2 linked regions of the Mus musculus genome follow. The protein of the gene in region 2 interacts with the protein of the main gene of each other region in a biochemical or structural test. Links are inferred from orthologs where the notes say so. Each region holds a gene or a part of one and is shown on either strand. Other genes may lie near its edges. The genes, in order: Hmga1b and Prkca.

Region 1 (10,502 bases), about 13 Mb from region 2:
GACTCGACCAGAGAGCGTAGCAAATAATAAGTGAGTGGAGGTCCTAAATACAATTCCCAATAACCACATGAAGGCTCACAATCTGTACAGCTACAGTGTGCTCATATACATTAAAATAAATAAATACATAAATCTTTAAAAAAAAGCAAGAGGAAAGAAAAAAAATCAACAAATGGGTTCCCAGAACCAACATATTGGCTCACAGCCACCCACAATTCCAGGTCCAGAGCCTCTGATGCCATGACTTCTGAGAGCATCAGGCTTGCAAGTTGTACACAGATATATGCACACAAAACACCCATACAAATAAAACCAGTTTTGTTTTATTTTGAGGTCTCCATGTAGTCCTGGTTGTCCTAGAACTCAGCAGGTTGGCTCGAACCCACAGATCCTTTTTCCCCTGCCTCCTGAGCTCTGGGATAAAGGCATACACCACCATGCCCAGCAGAGATCCGCCTCTAACCTCCCAAGTGCTGGGATTAAAGGCGTGTGGCACCACTGCTTCCCTTGGGTTGCTTTCTCGTAGAACCAAGGACCACTGGCCCAGGGATGGCACCACAATGGGCTGTTCCCTCCCCTATCAATCACTCATTAGGGAAATGCTAATCTTACAGCTGGATCTCATGGAGGCATTTTCTCATCTGAGGCTCCTTCCTCTCTGATGACTCTAGCCTGTGTCAAGTTGCCATAGGAGCAGCCAGGACAAAGGTTGACTAAACAGACTCCACTCTCTGTAGTTGGATCAATCCCATGCACTTTGAAAAACCACTTCCTTGTGTAAGGGGATCCTTGTGTTACTCCCACTTCTGTTCAGCCACTAACCCTGACAAACAGTTTCACATATTGTTTGACTGTATACCCCTCCTTTTTAAAGAGCCAACTGTCTGTATCCCAATCCCAGGTCATGCAGGGCCACCATAAACCTGGGGTTTCCAGGCCATGGTCACTGACACAGGCCTGGAGGAGGTGATAGACAAGAGGCAGCAGCAGGATCCAAAGGGGGAACTAGGGGCACCTATGTAATCTCTCCACCCAGGCATTCTGCACAAAACAATGGGTCGTGTAAATGCACAGATGACCATACAACACTGCTTCCACAGTGCACCAGGTGTGTGCTTTCAGGATTTGGGATACTGTACTGGCTGGATTTGTGTGTCAACTTGACACAAGCTGGAGTTATCACAGAGAAAGGAGCCTCTCTTGAGGAAGTGCCTCCATGAGATCCAGCTGTAAAGAATTTTCTCAATTAGTGATCAAGGATGGAAGGGCCCATCCCATTGTGGGTGGTGCCACACCTGGGCTAGTAGTCCTGGGTTCTATAAGAAAGCAGGCTGAGCAAGCCAGGGGATGCAATCCAGTAAGCAGCGTCCACCCATGGCCTCTGCATCAGCTCCTGCCTCCAAGTTCCTGTCCTGTGCGAGTTCCTGTCCTGTCTTCCTTTGGTGATGAACAGCAACGTGGAAGTGTCAGCTGAATAAACCCTTTCCTCCCCAGCTTACTTTCTAGTCATGATGTTTTGTGCAGGACTACAAACCCTGACTAAGACAGAAACTATGGTCCATTTATTTAAGCAAATCAGCCCAGCCTAGCTGATACAGAGGATGGGAGATCCTGGACCTGAGGGTGGGGATGGATGTGGGGTAGATCCACAGGGTAGAAGCAGAGCTGATGACCTGGGTTGAAGGCAGAGGTGTGGTGTGAGAGTGGATCCAGGGAAGTCTCCAGGGGTCTGTAGGTGCCATCTGGGCAGACTAGGAGGCCAGGTAGCCAGCATCCACCAGGATGCCACCGCCACTGGTAGAGGCACTTCTGTCGCTGAGCAGGAAGAGGATGCTGTTGGATGACGTCTTCAACCTCTGCAGGAGAACAGACCAGTCAAGGCTCTCTCCCTTGCTTGGCTGCTGACAAACCACATAGTTCCCCTCACCCACTGTCCCCAGCTGACCTGCGAACTTCCTCAGTGGGTGGCGCTCCTTGAGCTTCCTGGCAAACTCAGGGTCTGCAGAGACTTTCTTGCCCATGTCAGTCAGCACCACAGTGGGGTTTACGGAGTTTACCCGGATCTGGGGCCAGAAGCCACAGCTGGTGGCACAGCTGAGGAAGGAGCCCTACCTGCCCAGCTCAGGACTCGCCGCCCCAGGACCGGCCTGATGAGCTTGCTTACTCTGTCCAGATGAACCCTGAGCCCAGTGCTCAGAGCCTTCTATAGTCCTCACCCTCAACCCCCAGCCCTGCCCCAGGTGCCCATCGCCTGTCCCTCAGGTGTGGCCCGGCCCCCTGTGCCTACCTTGTGTGGCCCTAGTTCCATGGCCATGGCTTTGGTCAACATAGTTAATGTGCCCTTGGTGGAGCCTGTGGATGTGTGTGAGTGTTGAGGACCCCTCAGTTATTCAGTCCTCCTTCTGGGAGGACCACACAGAACCTACTCCTGTTCCTACCACAATGCACTCACAGTAGGTGGTCAGGTCAGGATAGGTGACATAGGCCACCAAGCTGGAGATGTTAACAATGGATCCTGCCACTCCACAGTTAATCATGCCTCAGGCTACCATCTGGAAGTCAAGAGTTTAGGGCAAACATATGCATTATCCCACCCCACCCTCTCCAGGTTTGCATCTGGGCCACAGCCCTCCTGTCTCCTCACCTGAGACACCTGCAGAACAGCACACACATTTACAATGAAGGACCTAGCAGAAGGGGACTATCAGCCTACTGAGCCAGCCATCTTCAGTGACCCTCCCCAGCCTGCCTGCTCTCCCTGAGGGCCCACCTGTCAAAGATCTCCTTTGTAGACTCTATAAAAGGCTGCATCAGCACCACCCCTGTGTTGTTCACCAGCAAGTCCACAGGGCCGATACCACCCAGCTCCTTCTATGTGACCTCCTAGTCACCCAGGTCCACACACGGACTCTATCCCAGGACACTGTGGGGGACATTGGTGGCCTGAGACATTGTCTCAGCCAGCTTCTAATGTATTCTTGAGGGTGGAGAACAGGCCCCAGCCATGGCAGTCTCTGTGCCTTAACTCTTTGAAAGGCTGACCAGGTCTGCGTTGGTCCGAGTCAAAGCCACCACTTTGGCTCCTGAGGCATGCAGGGCCTTCACAGTACACTGTCTATTCCCTGTAGGAGAATGGTGGAACAAGGGCCTTGTAGGCCTGGTTACAGAAGGATCTGGGTCCTGGAAGGGTTAAGTAAAGACTGTTGCTCCAAGCAGCGCAAGTGTGCTGACCAAAAGGCTGTAAGCCAGGGTGAGGTAGGACTATCCCCTTGTCAGAGGCCAGACAGACTGGTATCAGGTCAAAGAAGACAGTCCCCTCATGCTCATGATGGTGTCCCAGAGAAGGGTGACTAGTGCCCATCTTCCCAGCCTGGACCTAGGAACTGCCTTGATGCCGAGCCCAGCTTGTCCTTCAGAGTGGAGCACGTGGTAGCCAAGGAGAGGCTGGCAATCTGACCTGGTGGGCAGCAGGTCTCTGGCCAGGGGACAATGCTGAGGCTGGCCTCCTTCCTCTTTCCAGTCCAACTCCCCACCCGCTCACACTCACCTTTCCTCACTCACACACCTTCCCCTGATCACACTCACCTTTCCACACTCATCTCACTTCCCCGCTCACACTCACCTTTCCTGCTCACTCTCACCCCACTTCCTTGTTCACACTCTCTCCACTTTCCTGCTCACACTGACCTCACTTGCCTGCTCACATTCATCTTACTTCCCCGCTCACACTCACCTGCTTCCCTGCTCACACTCACCTTTCCCTGTCCCTGTCACCAGGGCCCTCAGCCCACTGAAATTCAGCTTCATGCTACTGACACCAGTGTCCTCCTGCAGTAAGGGGAGGGTTAAGGTTGTTAAGATGGAACTAGTGAGTGGGGCAGGGTTGGGGCAGACATTCTGCTCCCTCCTGGCAGCCCTCCTTGCTCCTCAGAAGTGCCAATCAGCTGCTCGTGCGGGACTTAAAGAGCCAATGAGAGCCGGGTGGGGGTGGCGCACGCCTTTAATCCCAGCACTTGGGAGGCAGAGGCAGGCAGATTTCTGAGTTTGAGGCCAGCCTGGTCTACAGAGTGAGTTCCAGGACAGCCAGGGCTATACAGAGAAACCCTGTCTCGAAAAACAAAAAACCAAACCAAAACAAAACAAAACGAGCCAATGAGAAGAAGTGTGCACACACATGTAGAACGTCTGACAAAGCAGTGGAAGCATGTGTGCACACACATGTGCCTGTGAGAGGGTCTGACACAGCAGTGTAGCGGGAAGGAAGGGGCAACCTAAAGAAGGAATCTGAATTTTCAGCAATGAGATGTGGAGTCTTGAACCCAGGGCCTGAGAGCATACTAAGCCAACGGTGCCCCATCAGTGATGCTCGGTGATGTGAGCCACACCCTCGGCCCAGGGCAGTGAGATTGCTGGGTTTGGAATTATCTGGACAGAAGCATCAGCTTGGGACTTTTTGTTTTGTTGTTATAAATGAAGGTAGTGATGTGATCTAGCTGGAGCAGGCACACTGGATTCCAATGCCCAGGGACCCAAGAACCCACCATGCCTGCAGTGTGTCTAGAGAGTCCCCTGGCTGTTCCCCTCAATCTGTTCCTCCCAGGTGCCCCTCACCTGCTGCCCCGTACCAGCCAGGAACTCCGCCTTTGGCAGAGACACTGAGGCACCGTCTTTACTTTGAGGCAGGACTCTTGTAAATCTTTTTTTTTTTTTTTTTTTTTTTTGACTGTCCAGAAAAGGCTATTTGTTTTTTATTCAAGTAACTGCAAATAAGAAACCAGGGAGGAAGCCCCAGGCTGGGACAAATACTGGCCACCCCTCCCCCACAGAACAAGGGGAGGTGGCCCTACACCCTTTTCCCATCAAAGTGGGCCCCCATCCTCACTCTGCTGCAGCATCCACGGGGTGGGGCCCCATCTTCCTTAGTGTGGGGTAGGTAACCAGTCTGCTGCGCCCCAGCCCCCCTTCCCCTCGAGTGTATTGTGTGGGGGAGAGAATACAGGCAAATTCAGGAGGATGAACATCTGACGCTGGTAGCAGCAGCAATAGTGGGTATCTAAGAATGAACATGGAACAAAAAAAAAACAACACAACCGTCCAGAGGTAGTTTGTGAACAGAGGAGAAGATGGAACCAGAACCATGGGGGGCAGGGAGGAGCGAAAAGGAGGGGGCGGCAAGGCTAGCTCCTTAGTGCCCTGCGGGAGGAAGGAACAGCCTAGAGTGGACTGGGGGAGGCGTGTTGGTGCCCGTTTGCCTTTGGTGGAGGCGAGAACAGGCCCTTACTCTGGAGATGGGCGGTAACCCCATCTGTCTAGTCTCAGGTGAGAACATTAAAGTGGGTGGAGCCAACATCATCCTACTTCCTGTTGTCAAGGGGCTCAGCCAACCCAGTGCATGATCTCTGTAGGGTGGGGCAGGAGGGGCTGAGAAACCCACCCGGTGATACTTTGGTGGGGACATGCTGGGATCTAAGCATCCCCTGCCCTGACCACACTGCTGCTGCTAGGTCAGCCACTGGGCCTTGTCAGAGTGAGATGGGGCCGGGGCCCCTTAAGGCCAGGGAATGCTCCCAGGACCCTCTACGGGGAAGCCAGGAACAGCAGGGCAGAAGGGACCCGCAAAACAAAGCGCCCAGAGAGCCACGGCTCTGAGGGAGGTGCGCAGCAGGCCGGGCTGCGGCTAAATGGGAAGTTAGCCTTGTCAGGATGGGGCAGGTGTGTTCGGGAGGAGGGCACAGGGACTGAGCCGAATCCTGCTCCCTTGGGTGCTGCGGAGCAGAGCCTGCAGCTGGTGCCTGGTGCGGTAGTGTGCAGTGGGGGCGGGGAGGGGCCTGGGAGCAGGGCTTCCAGTCCCAGGGGACAGCTGCTCCTCAGTGGCTATGGAGCAGGCGGCACTGCGAGTGGTGATCACTGCTCCTCCTCAGAGGACTCCTGGGAGATGCCCTCCTCTTCCTCCTTCTCCAGTTTCTTGGGTCTGCCCCTTGGTTTCCTCCCTGGAGCTGTGGTGACTTTCCGGGTCTTGGCGGCGCCCTTATTCTTGCTTCCCTTTGGTCGGCCCCGAGGTCTCTTCGGAGTTGGCACTTCACTGGGCTCTTTCTGACTCCCGACCAGCGCCGTCCCAGGACTCACCGGAGGCTGCTTGCGTGGCCTGCCCCGGCCTCGCTTCTCAGTCCCATCCTTTTCCTGCTTGGAGGCCAGGGGCTGGCTGGACTTTGAGCCCGACTCGCTCATTCTCCTTCTCTATGTGTGGGGCAGCACACAGTGAGTGCCTTCTTGGAGCCGCGCCAACACCAGAAATAGCCCCGACTCGGAGTCCCAATTAGAGGCGACTCTTGTAAATCTAAGCATGGATTCTGGGGTTTCCTGCCCCAGTTGCAAACCCTGAGTACCTCTGTGCATCTCCTCTTCTCTGAGCAGAGACCTGGTTCTTTGGAGCCAGTTAGGAGTAATCAGAGAATATTGTGCACCTCAACCCGTGTCTGGCGATTGTTTGAGGTGTGCTGAGGGTCTCTTGTCTTGTGTGTCAGGGTTCATGGAACAAGTACTCACGATCCAGTGAGTCATAGCAGGTCACACGACATCTGGGCCGGGCAGGAGGCTCAGATGCCTCATGGACAGCCCTGGGGAGGAGGTGTGCTCAGACTGCCGCCTTTCCCTTGCTCAGTCCAGGCTCTGCACTGAGACCGTGTGAGTCGCTGAAAGGAGGCAGCTGTACTTCCAGTGCTCTATAGTGCAGGGACAGCAGTACCCTTCCCCTGAGCATTCCTCCGCACTGGTCAGAAGGGTGCTCTGGGACCTTCCTGTGGCTCAGGGGACAGCATACACAGTGGGGGCCCGGAGCCCAATCATTTGCTGCTGCCTGGCAGTTTCCTCATAGCTAACAGGGACAGATCATGCCTGCTCACTGTGTCCTTGATCCCAGTCTGAGCAAACCACCAAGTCCTATAGCCAACCTCCAGGTGGCACTGAATACTGGTGTCTGGCCTGATCTATCCAGTAAGATCAAAGCCCTTCCCCTTCTATGACAAAAGCTGTGGATTGTGACCAACCTGCTGTCTGGTGGCCATCGGAACTCCTGGGAAATGGTGGCCTTTCAGGGATGCCAGTTGGCCACCAGGCAGGAGGAAGTGGTTTACCAGGAAGGGAGCATCAAGCTCCAACGTCTTGGGAAGACAGTCATCTGCTAGCTTCGCCCTTAGGAGCGCATTTCTCCTAAGATGTCTTCACCCTCCACAGCTCCTGCTCTATCTCCTGTCACCTATGTTGTCTGAAGACTTCTCTATCCAGAGTCATGTGCTGAGCCCTAACTACAACATTATGTGAGGACTGTTGTATAACAGTTTCCTTTGAAATTAAAACACCCCATCCTGCATGGAAGTTCCTTAAGTAGGGATGCAAACAACTCATATAGTTTCAGGAAGTTCCTGAAACTGACCAATTTCACAAGATCCCTTGCTGTCAGGGTAAGCAACAAAAGCTGAGAGTCTCTCTCAGACAAACCAAGCAGCAAAGAAGAAAGACTGCAGATCAGAGCCCAGAAGACGCAAAAGTCAGCTGAGTTACCTACCTACTGTCGTCATCTCCACTCCGAGCCGGTGGTGACAAGAACGACACAGGCACCAAGTCGGGTTCATGCAGCAACATCTTTACTTCAGGCTCTTTCTTTTACAGCTCTCTTCCCCAGCAGCTTCTTCTTAGGGGAAGGGCTAAACTACTCACTACTCTACTACTACTCACGGCAAGGGCTAAAACTACTCTTATTCACTACTTCTGGCTTCTACCTATCTTGCGTGCGCCGGACTCGACCAGCAAGAATGACGCTGCAACAGGATCCTGCACACGTTTATTGGGAGAGCTTGATTGCAGAGGTGAAAAGACCCCGAGCCCAGAACTGGTGCTGCTTTTATAGGCCTAGGAGAGGCGTGTCTCACACCTGGATTGGTTATGCACTACGCCTCATTTGCATGTTCCTCATCTGATTGGCTACTCTCTCTCAGTACCTCACAGAGCCTCATTATCATACCTCATTTGCATGTCTCACATCTGATTGGTTATACTCTCAGTACCTTACAGAACCTCATTATCATGCCCGGGCCAGGCAGTGTCTTTGCAAAAAACTTTACTGCATATGTACACATTGGTTGTTTGTCCAAACTTATGCGTGGTGGCCAGCAGTAGTCAGTGCCACTCTGCAACGGCACATGTGGCTTCCCACATACCTAGGGCAAGGGCTAAAAAACTCTCTTCACTACTACTGGCTTCTTTTACAATTGCTAGCTTCTACCACTTACAACAGCAGCTTTTACTACTCCATCTTTCTTGCAGCAAGGGCTAAACTCTTCTCACTACTCACGCCGACTCCTCCTTCTAGCTCCACCCCACATCATCCAATCAATCAGAATTCACACACACACACACACACACACACTCTCTCTCTCTCTCTCTCTCTCTCTCTCTCTCTCTCTCTCTCTCTCCAGGCACGAGCTTAGGTCGTTCACAGATAGGCTGACAGGTCTGGATCACGAGGAACTGTCCAGCCTGGCAGGCAGCCCACGCATGCAGCCTCACTGCGCATGCTCGGGCAAGGCAGTAAACAAGTGGGTTTGACGTGGCCTGCGGCCGCACCCACTTACCCCACAACCTACAAGAGGTTTAGACCAACTAAACCACATGAAAGAGATACTCTCCCACCTGTTGAGCTGCATTCAGGCTATGAATTGTGCTCCAGGTTTCCAGTCTTTGTGAGCTGTCACTGGAGCTGAGCTACAGTGAATGCCATCTGATCCTGTAAGAAATTCCTCACCAATACTCCCATAGGTAACCCCAATAAATCTCATGGCTCACCAAGCTTCCGGTGGTGTCTGTACACTGGTCTTTTATGGGCTACCTAATGGAGAGCGTGGATATGCATGTTGTGTCTCTCCAGGAAAAGTTTTGTCGAACAACAGAAGGAAAGGCCTTTGGGAGGAGTTTAGGGGAAACTAGACCCAGCAAGAAAACTGACATTAACCTTTTGGCCTCCAATCATGAGTGCACACACGTGCATCTGGCAGCAGACATGCTCACACCTGTGCAGATACACACAGACATTAAAACCAAGTGTCGGGGGCTGGCGAGATGGCTCAGCGGTTAAGAGCACTGACTGCTCTTCCGAAGATCCTGAGTTCAAATCCCAGCAACCACATGGTGGCTCACAACCATCCGTAATGAGATCTGACACCCTCTTCTGGTGCATCTGAAGACAGCTACAGTGTACTAATGAATAATAATAAATAAATCTTAAAAAAAAACAAAAAACAAAAAACAGAAAAAACCTAGTGTCGCAGAGTGTAGTGGTTCCCACCTACAATTTCAGCCCTTGGAGTCAGAATCATAGCTTTAAGTTTGAGGCCAGCCTGGTCTATGTTGTGAGTCCTAGGCCACCCAGAGCTACATAGCAATACCCTGTCTCAATCCCACTACTGGTGATTTATATGAGAATGGTCCCCACAGGCTCGTAGTTGAAAGCTTGGTCTCCAGTTGGTGGAACTGTCTGAGAAGGATTAGGAGGTGTGGCCTCACTGGAAGAGGTGTGTCACTGCTGGTAGGCTTTGAGGTTTCAAAAACCCACCTCATTCCCAGGTGGCTTTTTCTCTCTCTGCCATCTGTGGATCACATGTAAGCTCTCAGCTGCTGCTCCAGCACCATGCCTGCCTGTCTGCCACCATGCTTCATTCCATGATGGTCATGGAAACTAACCTTCAGGAACCATGATCCCCCAATGAAATATTTTCTTCTATGAGTTGCCCTGGTCGTGGCAACAGAGAAGTAACTAAGACACCACTCCTACACACAATCATCAAACCATGAGTGGACTGTGCTTGGAGCTGACTGAAGCCATGTCCTTTGACAGGCTGTCTGCCAAAACTTGCCAGATGGCAAAGCAGCATGGGCTGCAGCCTGGACCATGTGTGTGTCTTCTCTTTCCCTTGGGCCAACAGAACTGGCACTGACAGGTATTTTGTGTGTGTGTGTGTGTGTGTGTGTGTAGGCATAAGGACAATGACAGTCTACAGCCCTGTACATGGGAGCTGGAGAGAAGGCTCCATGGTGAGAGCATTTGCTGTTCTTGCAGAGGACCAGGGTTCAGTTCCCAGCACCCACATGGCAGCTCACAACCATCTGTAACTCCAGTCCCAGGAGATAAAGCTCTTTTCTGCTCTCCATAGGCATTGCATGCATGTGGCCCACTAATATACAAGCTGAAAAAACACTCATGCACATCAAATCAAAATAAATAATAGCACATTTCTTTAAGGCAAACACTAGGGAGGCAGGCATAGGCAGATCTCTATGTGTTTGGGGTCATCCTAGTCTATATAGAGAGGCCTTGTCTCAAAAAAAAATTCAAAATTAACGTAAAAAATTTCTTAAAATCATGTTTATAATTTTCCATGATCCAAAAAGCCTTAAACAGCACCATTCCCTTTGCATGTTAAGCGTCCAGAGGCAGCACCCTAGTTCTG
Region 2 (10,696 bases):
AAAACTCACTTGAAAAGAATTGAGTTATTAAAGTCCTCTATAAAAAAGTACAAATAGCCCAGGATACCCAGGTACTCTCTTGGAGTTAATAAGTTAATTTCTTGTTTTAGGTTAAAAAAAGTCTTTGGAACTTGTGGGCTTCTGAGGAGGGTCACAGTAAGGCTGTTTAACAACCTGGTGTGTCTTCTGTTCATTGACTGACACCTGACCACACGAATGCTGAGCCAACCACACTTTTTAACCATTGCTGTATCATCCCTGGGACAGCATTAGACACCGTTTCTAGAACACTGTGTCTGTGCATGCCTCAAGCACCCTTTCCTGATTTTCTGGATTATTCTGACAGCAGAAAGTATCTGCTTCTTCTAGATTTGCTACGCTGGCCCAGTGAGATGTGGCAGGGGTGTTGACTGTCCAGCACATTTTGTTAACAGCAGTTCATGGAAAACAATTTTAAAACCAGTTTCCTAACACTCTGTCATGTTAGTGTGGACCCACTGCTAACCAGAGGACCTGTCTCCTTCCTTGCTATTGTCCCCCCAACCCCCCATGGTCAGCATCCTTTCAGGTCCCTGGCTCAGCACGCATCTCCTGAGAGTGACTGATGTGCTCAGCCGTGGCATGGGGACAGGTAACCCTACCCTTCTAGGGTTGTAAACAAACAGGAAACAGCGTGACATGTACACACAAGAAATAGATGATTTCATAAGACCAAGGTGAGAAAATGACTGTCAGGTGGTGTTGCCTTGTGGAGGCGTTTGAGAAAATAAAGCCCTGCACAAACCCTTCCTATTTTTCTCTGCTGAGCAGAAGCTGGCAGGTCGTTGTTGGTTGTTTTCGTGACTTCTGGACCTAGTCTCAGCAGCCATAATTATCAGAGGGATAAAGATGGAACTAAGTGCTTCTAGGGTCTGCTGGCTGGCTCGGCTCTGGGCAAAGGACTTGTTACAGTTGGGAGAGTCTGAGAACGAACAAAAGGTTGTATCTGGCAAAAAGCCACACCTTTGAAGGCTGATGAACAGTAACTTCCATTTGCACAATGACCCCCAGTGGAAAGCCCATGCAGATTAACACAACCTTTCCACCACCTTCCATGTCTTCCTGGGTGCACTCAAACCCTGCTCTTTAATGGTGTTGACTTCTGCTTCCTCCTCTTTGTGATACATCGATGAGTGGCTCTTTTGGGGTTGGCAAGCCACCATGATTTATTTGCTAAGAACTGGAGCTTGTGAGCAGCAACATTTGAGGGTTAATACTGGCCTCTGGTAATCTTTCACGTGACCATCTCAGACCAAGCTTCCGGAAAACTCTGGGCCTCCTGAGTTTCTCAAATTACTAATAAAAAAGACTAAATTAAAGAAAAGGCTACTAGCTCAAACTAGGCCACAGAGGTAGGAGGGTGAAGGGCAATCAGTTTAGCTCCTGGGGCTTCTCTTCTGCCTTCTGAATTAGCTGCTGCCTGGGGTAAGCCTCCCATTAACTCCTGGGGCTGCACCTGGCAGCATACTCCAGCTCTTTCCATTCAACCCAAGCACCAGGTAACTTTAGATGCCACACTGAAGGCAGAGCTAGCAGCCCACCGGCCTGTGGTGGAACAGGGAAGAGCTGCTCCTGGGAAATGGCCACCTTCCAGGGGAATATAATACAAAATTATTTCAATGGATTTTCTGGGTCACGGCCTGATGGGTCCCTGTGGAGACTTGGATTGTGCTAGGTTCTCCTCCACAGACCCTGCCAATGCAGGCACAGCCTGAGAGCAGGTACATTCTAAATAGTTCCCACCCCTGCCCCTGGGGATTAAACCCTTCAAGGCACCCTCCTGGTTCTGGCCTCCTGCTTGGTTGCTTCAGTTCAAATGGCAGATGTTTCCCTGTAGCCCTGTTTCATACAAGGTCTGTGAAGTGGGACAAGGATGTAGAATAGTATCAATTGATCCTGCCTAACAGCTGCTAGTGGTTATCCAGGTGAGTTAGTTTTGTAGCAAAAGTTGTCTCTGCTGTCCAGATCTTTAAAGTACTAGCCTTCATCTGAATTTAACCCTCAGCAGTGTATAGAATAGGCAGCATCATGAACACGTCCTTAAATTTTTATCATCTCTCCTAAGTTTGTTCTCCAGTGTTCTGTTCCTTAGGCAATTGCTGGTCTGTGGCTCTGTTATTTCCCTCCTCCAGTGTGAGAATGTTGGTGGGTATTCTCTAAGCGTACAAGCCATCCAAGGAACCGCACACATTTTCTAGAGAAGTTGAATCACTCGGAGCTGGATGCTGGCGGTTTAAGGAAGAACCCAAGCCTGCTACTGGCATGAGAGTCAGGCAGCTTGGCACCTCAGGGTGGATTGTCTACGAACCCTGTGCTCCTTCTCTGTGGTTTCCCCCACTTTGAGAGGTTCAGCTTCCTGTTGCTGTCCCACCTGGGAAGAGCAATGCTTTCACTTCCAAGGCTCATTGATAAGCCAGTTCCTTTACAGTTGGACTGAGTACAGTGTTTTTGATAAGGCTAGGTTACCAAGATGGTGAACTTGACTTCTGAGATCCATATATGACACCCTTCCCCACTTTTTGAGGTCTGAAGTCCAGAATTCATGAAAGATTGCAGAAGAAACTGCTCTTTTCTGGTTTGGCCCACTCTCGACTCCATATCTCCTTCTGATTAGGGATTTTCAGAACAGCCTATGCTCCGTATCTCAAAGACTCTTGGTGGGTTGCAGGGTATGTGACTGTCAAGCAGATAGGTGGAGAATAACAAAGAGGAGAGCCTAGCTGTGAGATGATTTCGATAGAGGTGCCTTCTCTAAGGACTGGTAGGAACTCCTTTTTCACTTATCCTTTATGCTGCAGAAGCCTGCCTCTTCTAAACACCTTGTATTAGGAGGCATTTGGACAAAGGCATGCTCTTCAAAGACCGGAATGTTCTAGGAACCGCTTTAAGACAGTATGTGCCTCTGAAGAGAGTCTGTTGGCAACAGCTTCAGAGATGGCTCTACACAGGCATGGAGATAAAGTTTGTCTCAAGGATTCTGTGTGTTCTGAAGTACACAGTGAGTTATTCTGGGGCAGAAAGACAGACTACATATTTTTGGGTGTCCATATGCACACACAGAAAGGAGTTCTCTCACCCCTTCATCCCTAGAGACCCCAAAGACATAGGCTGAAAAGTACCAGACAGACAGACAGACAGACAGACAGACACACACACACACACAATTCAGCCTAGGTGCTGTAACAATGCCACATATATATGAACATATCAGGAATACTGGAATTAAATATATTCAGCTGTCCCCAAGAGAAGGGGTGATAAAGGAACTTGAACAGAGGATAACATGAAGAAGTTAACAGAGTCTTATCTCAAAAAATAATCCCCACAAACAAAACCGGGGTTTGTAGGTAGAATCAAATATATATATATATATATATACATATGTACACATATATAGTAAAACCCTAGTTAAACGTGTAAAGTAGCCATTCATTTTTAAAATTACATCTACATTAAAAAATTAATATATCTGATAGAGTGCCAGTGTGTGGAGTAGCGGGTGAGAGCCCAGCAGCAATGAATAAAGCTAACACTTAATCTTAAAGCAGACTGGAAACATGAGCGTCACAAATATAGCACAATTGTGTCTTATAAAAATTATCATAATACTCTTTATAGTTGATACAATTATATCAATAATATAGATTAACTCGTTATTAAGGTTTATTATAAACATGCAAAATCCATTGCATGATGCACTCGCAAAACATATTAAAATCCTTCTAGCAAGACAACATCTTTGAGTTGATATCAGCATAAAGTATCTTGATCCTACAGTTCCACATGTGCCGTTCAATAGGAACTGAGAATGGGAACCCAAACTATGCTCTTTTTCATCTCTAAGTGGATGTGGGGCGAGAGAAAGGAGGAAAATCAATCTAGAGGGACTGAGGCTAGTCAATACTTTGACTAAATTACTATACATTGTACTTCCATAAACGACACTGCAGCTTATTAAATAAATAGTAAAAAAAGGGGGGGGGATGGGGTCATACATTTCAGCTTCTTAGGAAGGGTACCTACAAAGGTAGCAAAATATTGTGTGTGTGGGGTTGGCTAACAACACTCGTGAACAGTGGCATGATTACTGATGGCACCCTGGATTGAAGAGTCATCTCCCAGAGATTAGAATGAACGTACACATGGTTTATCCTTGATCTGAAATGATTTCACATGCTTGTTTAGCAAAGTCCTTAGATGATTTGGCCTCTTAAAAAGAATGAGTTATAGAGATTGTTATCAACCAAGCAGGGGATTACAGATGGTAGATTCAGTGAATATTTGTCTGAAGTTTTCTTTCCTTCTTAAACTGTGCACTATGGTTGTGCTATGATGACTGGGAACAGTGATCAGGTTCATCCTGCCCTCTCTGAGTCTAGGGACTGTTTCCATTGAAAAGGAGAATAGAAGCTATGTGGTCTTGAATATATGAGCCCCCAACCTCTCTTTGCTTTCTCTTTGGACTTCCTGTTCTTTTGTTCCAAAGACATCTTGGGTGGAAGTGTTTCCTTGAGTTTCCTTGAGTTAGGGTGAGTTCACTTTACTATCTCTGGTCGATTCTGATAGTGAAAATCCAAGAAATGGAAAGTATGGAGAATATATCAAATCGTACAAAAAAAATAGGGTCCAAGTCGCTTTGATTTTTTTTAGGAAGAATCAACTTGTAGCTGACATGACTTCTACATAATTAAACTATACTCTGTACTTTATGTCATCATCCACTAAGATAATGCTTTTGGTTGGGGGGTGAGGAAAAAAGTTGATCATGTATTGACTAATGTCCCTAGAATTTCCAGGCCTCTGTGTGGAACAAAATACAAGGCCATAGCCTTAAATTTTTATGGTTAAGGATCATTTCCCACTGCTGGGGATGCTGGGGGCTGGGGAGGCATTTGATCTTTCATTTTTGAGTTTCATACTGCACTTTGCAAGATTGGGTGCACAAACTGGGGGTTGACATACGAGAACCCTTCAAAATCAGATTGGTCTATGTTAGCAATGACCAGCTGATCTGGTGGTGTTAAGACAGGCTGTCCTCGCGTGAAGAACTTGTCAAAGTTTTCTGCTCCTTTGCCACACTGTAGGGGAAAAAAAAAGAAAAAAAGAAAAAGTCAGAAGATACAAATCACAGAAGTCGTTTACTGAGAGCCTGGAAGGGTGTGCCACAGGGAAATTGGCCTGGCTGGGCAGGAAGACTCTTGGAGGATTTACAGGCCTACTGGAATCAGAAGCCAAGCATAGCAAACAACAGATAGTTACTTGATTGTAATTCTTCTCATATGATAATTCTGAGAATATTCTCAGAATGAAAATCCTAAATGGAAATGCACTGTTGTTTACAACATAGCAAAAAGACAGCCTCTCTTTCTTCAATATTACCTCATTGAGCAAGCAGAGCTATTAGCATGAATGATGCACACACAGGGCCATCTGTCATAGCTCCATGTTGAAAAGGCCATGCTATTGATTGTGCCTGTAGGTACCCATGAATTGACAAGGTGTGGTTACTGTCTCATATTTGGTTCTTTGTAGTAATATTTATAATCAGACAGAAGCTGTGTGTCTTTGACATGTAACTGGCATGTTTTAGAAACTCTAGCTCTCAGAGTAATCTTAAAGCAGTATGGGGTAGGTACAGTGAGAATGTAGGGGATGAGTTCTTGCCCTAAGCAAGAATTATGCATAACTGGATAGAGCTGGTCAAGTGGCAGGCAAGTCAACATGGAGCTCATTCACAGCATAGTTTTAAGACAGGAGAAGATATGCACAGGTACCCTGAGGAGGCACAATAAAGTCTGTGATCTGTCTTGAATATTATCGTCCTTTAGGATCCACCAAGGCATTCTTTGCAAATGGAGGCTTTTGGCATAGCTTCCCTGTGATTGTCTAACCAGCCAGCTGCTTATGCAGTAGTGCATGGGAGTCTTACTCAACTCGTAGTCAATTATACAATTTAGAGTTATACAACACTTATTGCATGATGCCCTTGCAAAACATTAAACTCCTTTTAGGAAGGAAAGAAAGGAATATCCCCACTTTTCCAAATACCTAGAAAGGTTGTGGCACATCAAAGTCTCTGGGGCTTCCAAGGAAGAACTGGGGTTTTACTGATGCTACTAATGATGCAGAGCATGCTGCAAACCGTCACTCTTTTATCTTCTGGTAGCATAACTGGAGCAACATGAACTCATGTTAAGTCAGCATACATTTTAACCTAATGCGGAATTCTTGGCTCTCTAACAGAGGACAGTTCTAGGTAACCTGTGAGGTTCTGTAGAGTTGAGAAAGGAACTGTATCTCCCTCCTCATGACACTACAAAGGTTAATGTGCGCTTGGTCAGAGTTCAACACACATTATTTATTTCTTTAAAATAAGATCTTTCATGCTCATGGGTTGTATTTTCTCACCTACTTCCCCAATGGGTTTTCTAGAGAAACCCATTTCATTATAATTTTCCATTTTCCCTGCAGTAAATACAACACACTTCTCAGTGTCTGTGGAGATAGAAAACATATGCTAACTTCAAAGTAAGGTCTTCAAAATCAACAGTGTCCTTTCCCAATATCATTTTCATTTAATAAATAGCCACTGTACTCTGAACTCAAGGACATTTTACACTTCAGTGATGGGGTGGCTCTGGGTGTGTGTGTGGTGCATACATGGTTAGGGTAGGCTTCTATATTGTTATGTTGTGGGGAACAGAGTGTCCTCAAGTCACTCTGTGGAGTCCATACAGGTTATGAAGCACCCTCTACATTTTAGTCTGGCTCCTCTATGTGGAGCCACAAAACTTTGGCTTTCAAACTGTATATTCCCATGATGTTTTTCTTTGCAAGAATCCAAAGCACTTCAAAGCAAAGGTCAGCAGAGGCAGAGCCACATGCAGAGGATACCACTGAAAAGGGCTCTGTAGGAAGCAAGTAAGGAAATGCTGTTTCTTCCCAGGAAATAATCAGGAGTCTATATTTTTGATTCATAAATCACATGAACAACAGAAGCTGGTTTCCATTAAGATAATACAGTCAACTCTACTGCAATGATATAAACATCTAAAGAAAAAGTTGTCTCTTTGGTAAGACTTGATTTTCAACCAGGTAAAAGTTTTCCTCCAGGAAATCCATTTTCATAAAATTGCCATAACTTGGACAAGGGATGCCATTGTCAACTAGTGGTTAGAGGGGGATACTGCTAAATATCCTAAGATGAATGATTTCCCCATTCCCTTAAATATTTATTGGCTCAAAATATCAATAGTGCATCTGTTGGAAAACACTAGACTCCATATATCTAGACTGTAATGAGAGGTCCTGTGGTTGGTGTGAAGGGGCCAAGCATGAAAATTAGGCAAAAGCAACCATGTGTGGGAGTAGAGCATGGAGAATTTGTAGAAGGCCAAAGAAAAATGATGTAAGCAATGTTATATAGCCCTATAGGGTTGGCTTTGAGGAACACTCCCTTTTGGTGATGGATGTGTAGCAACTACCTGGAAGAACTCAAGTGCAGTGCATTTACTGTGGATGCTTTTAGAAGGTGGGCATGAGAACACTTAAGAAGACATCATTTGTCAACTTTCTGGTACTGACAATGCAAAGAAGAGCAAGAAGGAGATTCTAAGGAGAGAGAGAGAGAGAGAGAGGGAGAGGGAGAGAGAGAGAGAGAGGGAGAGAGAGAGAGAGAGAATATGTGTCTCTACAAGGCAGAGCAAGGCTAGCCAAGGTAAATGTTCTATTTGCCTGCCTGTCTAGCATTGCATTTATGGATTTGTTCTTTGAAAAGTTTATGTTGTGTGGTCCTTTATTTGAATACTGTCTCTCTGATGCTCACAAATTAGTTTGCAGTGAGAAGTTTCTTAGTACTATGGGATCTACTGCCAAAGAGTCCTTAAAACCTACAAAGAGGATCCACGTGAACACTGAGGAAGGTGGGGTGGGAAGAGCACATCAAATTCTACAGCTATTATTCCAAGAAGAGTTATTGCTAAGGCAGCTAGTATTCCAAGAAAAGTTATTGCTAAGGCAGCTAGTGCTTATAAAGCCAAAAATTGTAATGGGATGGAAAAACTCTTTGAATCCTCATGGTGTCAGTACTGAAGACTATGTAGCTAAGGGGAAAACATGGATCACCAGTAAATTAAATCCCTGCTCTGTGGTCACATTGAAAGGCCATGTGTCTGTTAGTCTCAGAATTGCTCCCCACCACAGACGCCTTTCTCTTCTCTCACCCCAACTTTCCTTGGAATTTTCCATTGCTCAAAGAGAACGAGAGAGGGAGAGAAACCATATTATGGCAAATGAAGGCTTTTCTTAAACTGACTCAATTTAGGTAAAGAGACCAGAGGAAAGAGCAGGCTGAGTTCAGAGAATAAAAATTAAATCACTGAAATTAAAATATATCAACCATGAGACAAAAAAAAAAAAAAATCAAAACCAACCAACCCAAACCAACCCCCCCCCTCAAACAAAAGCAATGAGGGGTGTGACTATAACTTAGCAAGAAATGGGGATAACAGCCTTTGTAAAACTGGGGGTTGAGTCTGAAGATGAAATACAAGACTCAGAAGTTGTCTTATTCCGACTGTTGTCATATGAGAGTGAATGATATCCCAAAAGGCAGCAGAAATATTTTAATCATAAATCTCATATTGTAAAAAATATAAATTAATCATACACTGAGAAAAAGTATCTCAAAAATGAACTTTCTATGCTTCTAAGCAAAACCAGGCCCAGAAACAGACAATCTCTTTTAGGAAAACTGGAGAAGATCTTGAACTACTATTTAAAGATGTTATGTAGAGATCTTAAATGCTACCAGCAAAACCAGATAAGGATTATAGCAATCAGATTTCTTTGGATGGTTGTGCAGAAGATAATATATTTAAGAATCTATTGTTCACTGCCTGTGACCCAGCCTTGAGATCATCAATTTGATGGGTAGAGAGCTGCCACCTTGGAGCAGTGTAGGGAATAAGAGATGGGAGGGGGCACCCAAGTGGCATCTGTGGATCAGCAAGTTAATGAGTGGCATAGGAAGCTGGCTTGGCTGCAGATGTTTTCCCAAAATTATTATAGCCATTTAAAGGACAGTCTTCAATAGCAGCTAGAACAACAGGCAAATCTGGGTTGTTTGTGACCTCTGAGATATAGTCTACTAGACCTTCAAAGCAGCTAAATAATCTTATGAACAATGCCTCTGGAATGAATAGACATGATATTCACCTCCAAAGGCCCCCAACAACTTTCACTAGTGGAAACTTCTGTCAGAAATGTGACCCAGGACAAACTCAGAAGAGAAATGGGGAGCTGGTGTGTGAACCCAGGCAGGTCCCTTGGTCTCCTTGGGAACAGCTTGTGTCTAATGCTCAGTACTGACACTTGAGGAGGGACAGCAGAGTGAAGGACCAGGCCAAAGATCAAGAGGCCCAGGTGTAGCTTTAGGAATTTCATTGCATGTCCCTTTAAAGGTAAAATGGGGATGTGACCACCCACCTTCCAAGGCTCTGGTGAGAGCTAAAGGACCTAGCATGTGTGAGGTCTTTCTAAATGATGAGACGTTATACAGAGAGAAGATATAAACATGAACCAATAGCCCTGCATGCAAATAGATGATATTTGAAGAATGAATAAATGCTATTAGCAATCTGCCTTCTCTCTTATCTCTTCATTAAGGAATTAAAATCTTTGTCATTTTTGATATCTCTACCCAAATTATTAGTTTTAATCATTAATCATCAGCTAGACATGATCTAGTACCACCTGGGAAGGCAGTCTCAATGAGAGATTATCTAGGTCAGGTTGGCCTGTGGATAAGTCTATGAGGGATTATCTTGATTACACTGAGGAAGCTCTGTCTACTGAGGGTGACACCATTCCCTAAGCCAGGCATCCTGAACTATGTAAGAGCGAGAAAAACAAGCTGAGTATGAACAGGCATGCACTCTTTCTCTTCTCTTCATCCTGGATATGACCAGCTAGTCCAAGTTTTTGCCACCTTGATTTGCCAAAAATAATGGACAGTGAGTTAAACGAACCCCTTCTCCCTTAGGTTGCTTCTGTCGGGGTATTTTATCACAGTGACAGAAGAGGAACCAGGATATCACCCATTTAGTAAATTAACCAATCAGTAAAGTGAACTCAGGAGGAATCACACATAGTAAAGATGTTGCAGAGCATAGCATGATGTAGACCCTAGATGGGATCTGGGTTGCAAAGTTCTGTGCCCACATCCTGCATGGCAAGCAGCCTTCCAGACCCTTTTGTTCCATGACAGAGTGGAGGGAGGAGACTGAGCTGTGCTGCGTGCGGGGCATGGCTTCTTGCCTGTGAGTCTTACTCCTTAGAGGCACTGTGCACAGCGGTACATGTGTGGGTCTACACTCTATGGTGTCCCAGGAGTGTTAGATACAGCTCCATGGTCACTGGCATGGAAACATGAGTGGTTACAGAACGATGACCACTGGGAAGCAAAATCACACAAATCCCAAACGGATAGCCAGAGTGCAGAACAAATGAAGCATAGAGGTTAGCTGCGAAAGCACAGAAATAAAAAGAAAATGTAGGGGTCCCGGGAGGGCCTCTTACAGTTGCTAGATATGGCAGGCTGTCCTCGGCATTGGGAGAATGCTTACCTATATTGAAGACTATAGCACTGTGTTGTACA

What was found.
Region 1: of the proteins of Prkca (region 2) and Hmga1b, one has a biochemical effect on the other in vitro, tested with the Homo sapiens proteins (2 studies listed by BioGRID). The link is inferred for Mus musculus from reciprocal best matches to the Homo sapiens genes PRKCA and HMGA1.

Annotation. Positions count from the first base shown.
Region 1 is NC_000077.6:120,758,615-120,769,116, reverse strand, and holds Hmga1b (high mobility group protein HMG-I/HMG-Y), read right to left. Parts: upstream 6,324-10,502; 5' UTR 6,229-6,323; coding exon 6,127-6,228; coding exon of another isoform or gene 6,094-6,126; coding exon 5,905-6,093; 3' UTR 4,725-5,904; downstream 1-4,724. UniProt on the Homo sapiens protein: HMG-I/Y bind preferentially to the minor groove of A+T rich regions in double-stranded DNA. It is suggested that these proteins could function in nucleosome phasing and in the 3'-end processing of mRNA transcripts.
Region 2 is NC_000077.6:107,934,564-107,945,259, forward strand, and holds part of Prkca (protein kinase C alpha type), read right to left. Parts: intron 5,118-10,696; coding exon 4,953-5,117; 3' UTR 1-4,952. UniProt on the Homo sapiens protein: Calcium-activated, phospholipid- and diacylglycerol (DAG)-dependent serine/threonine-protein kinase that is involved in positive and negative regulation of cell proliferation, apoptosis, differentiation, migration and adhesion, tumorigenesis, cardiac hypertrophy, angiogenesis, platelet function and inflammation, by directly phosphorylating targets such as RAF1, BCL2, CSPG4, TNNT2/CTNT, or activating signaling cascade involving MAPK1/3 (ERK1/2) and RAP1GAP.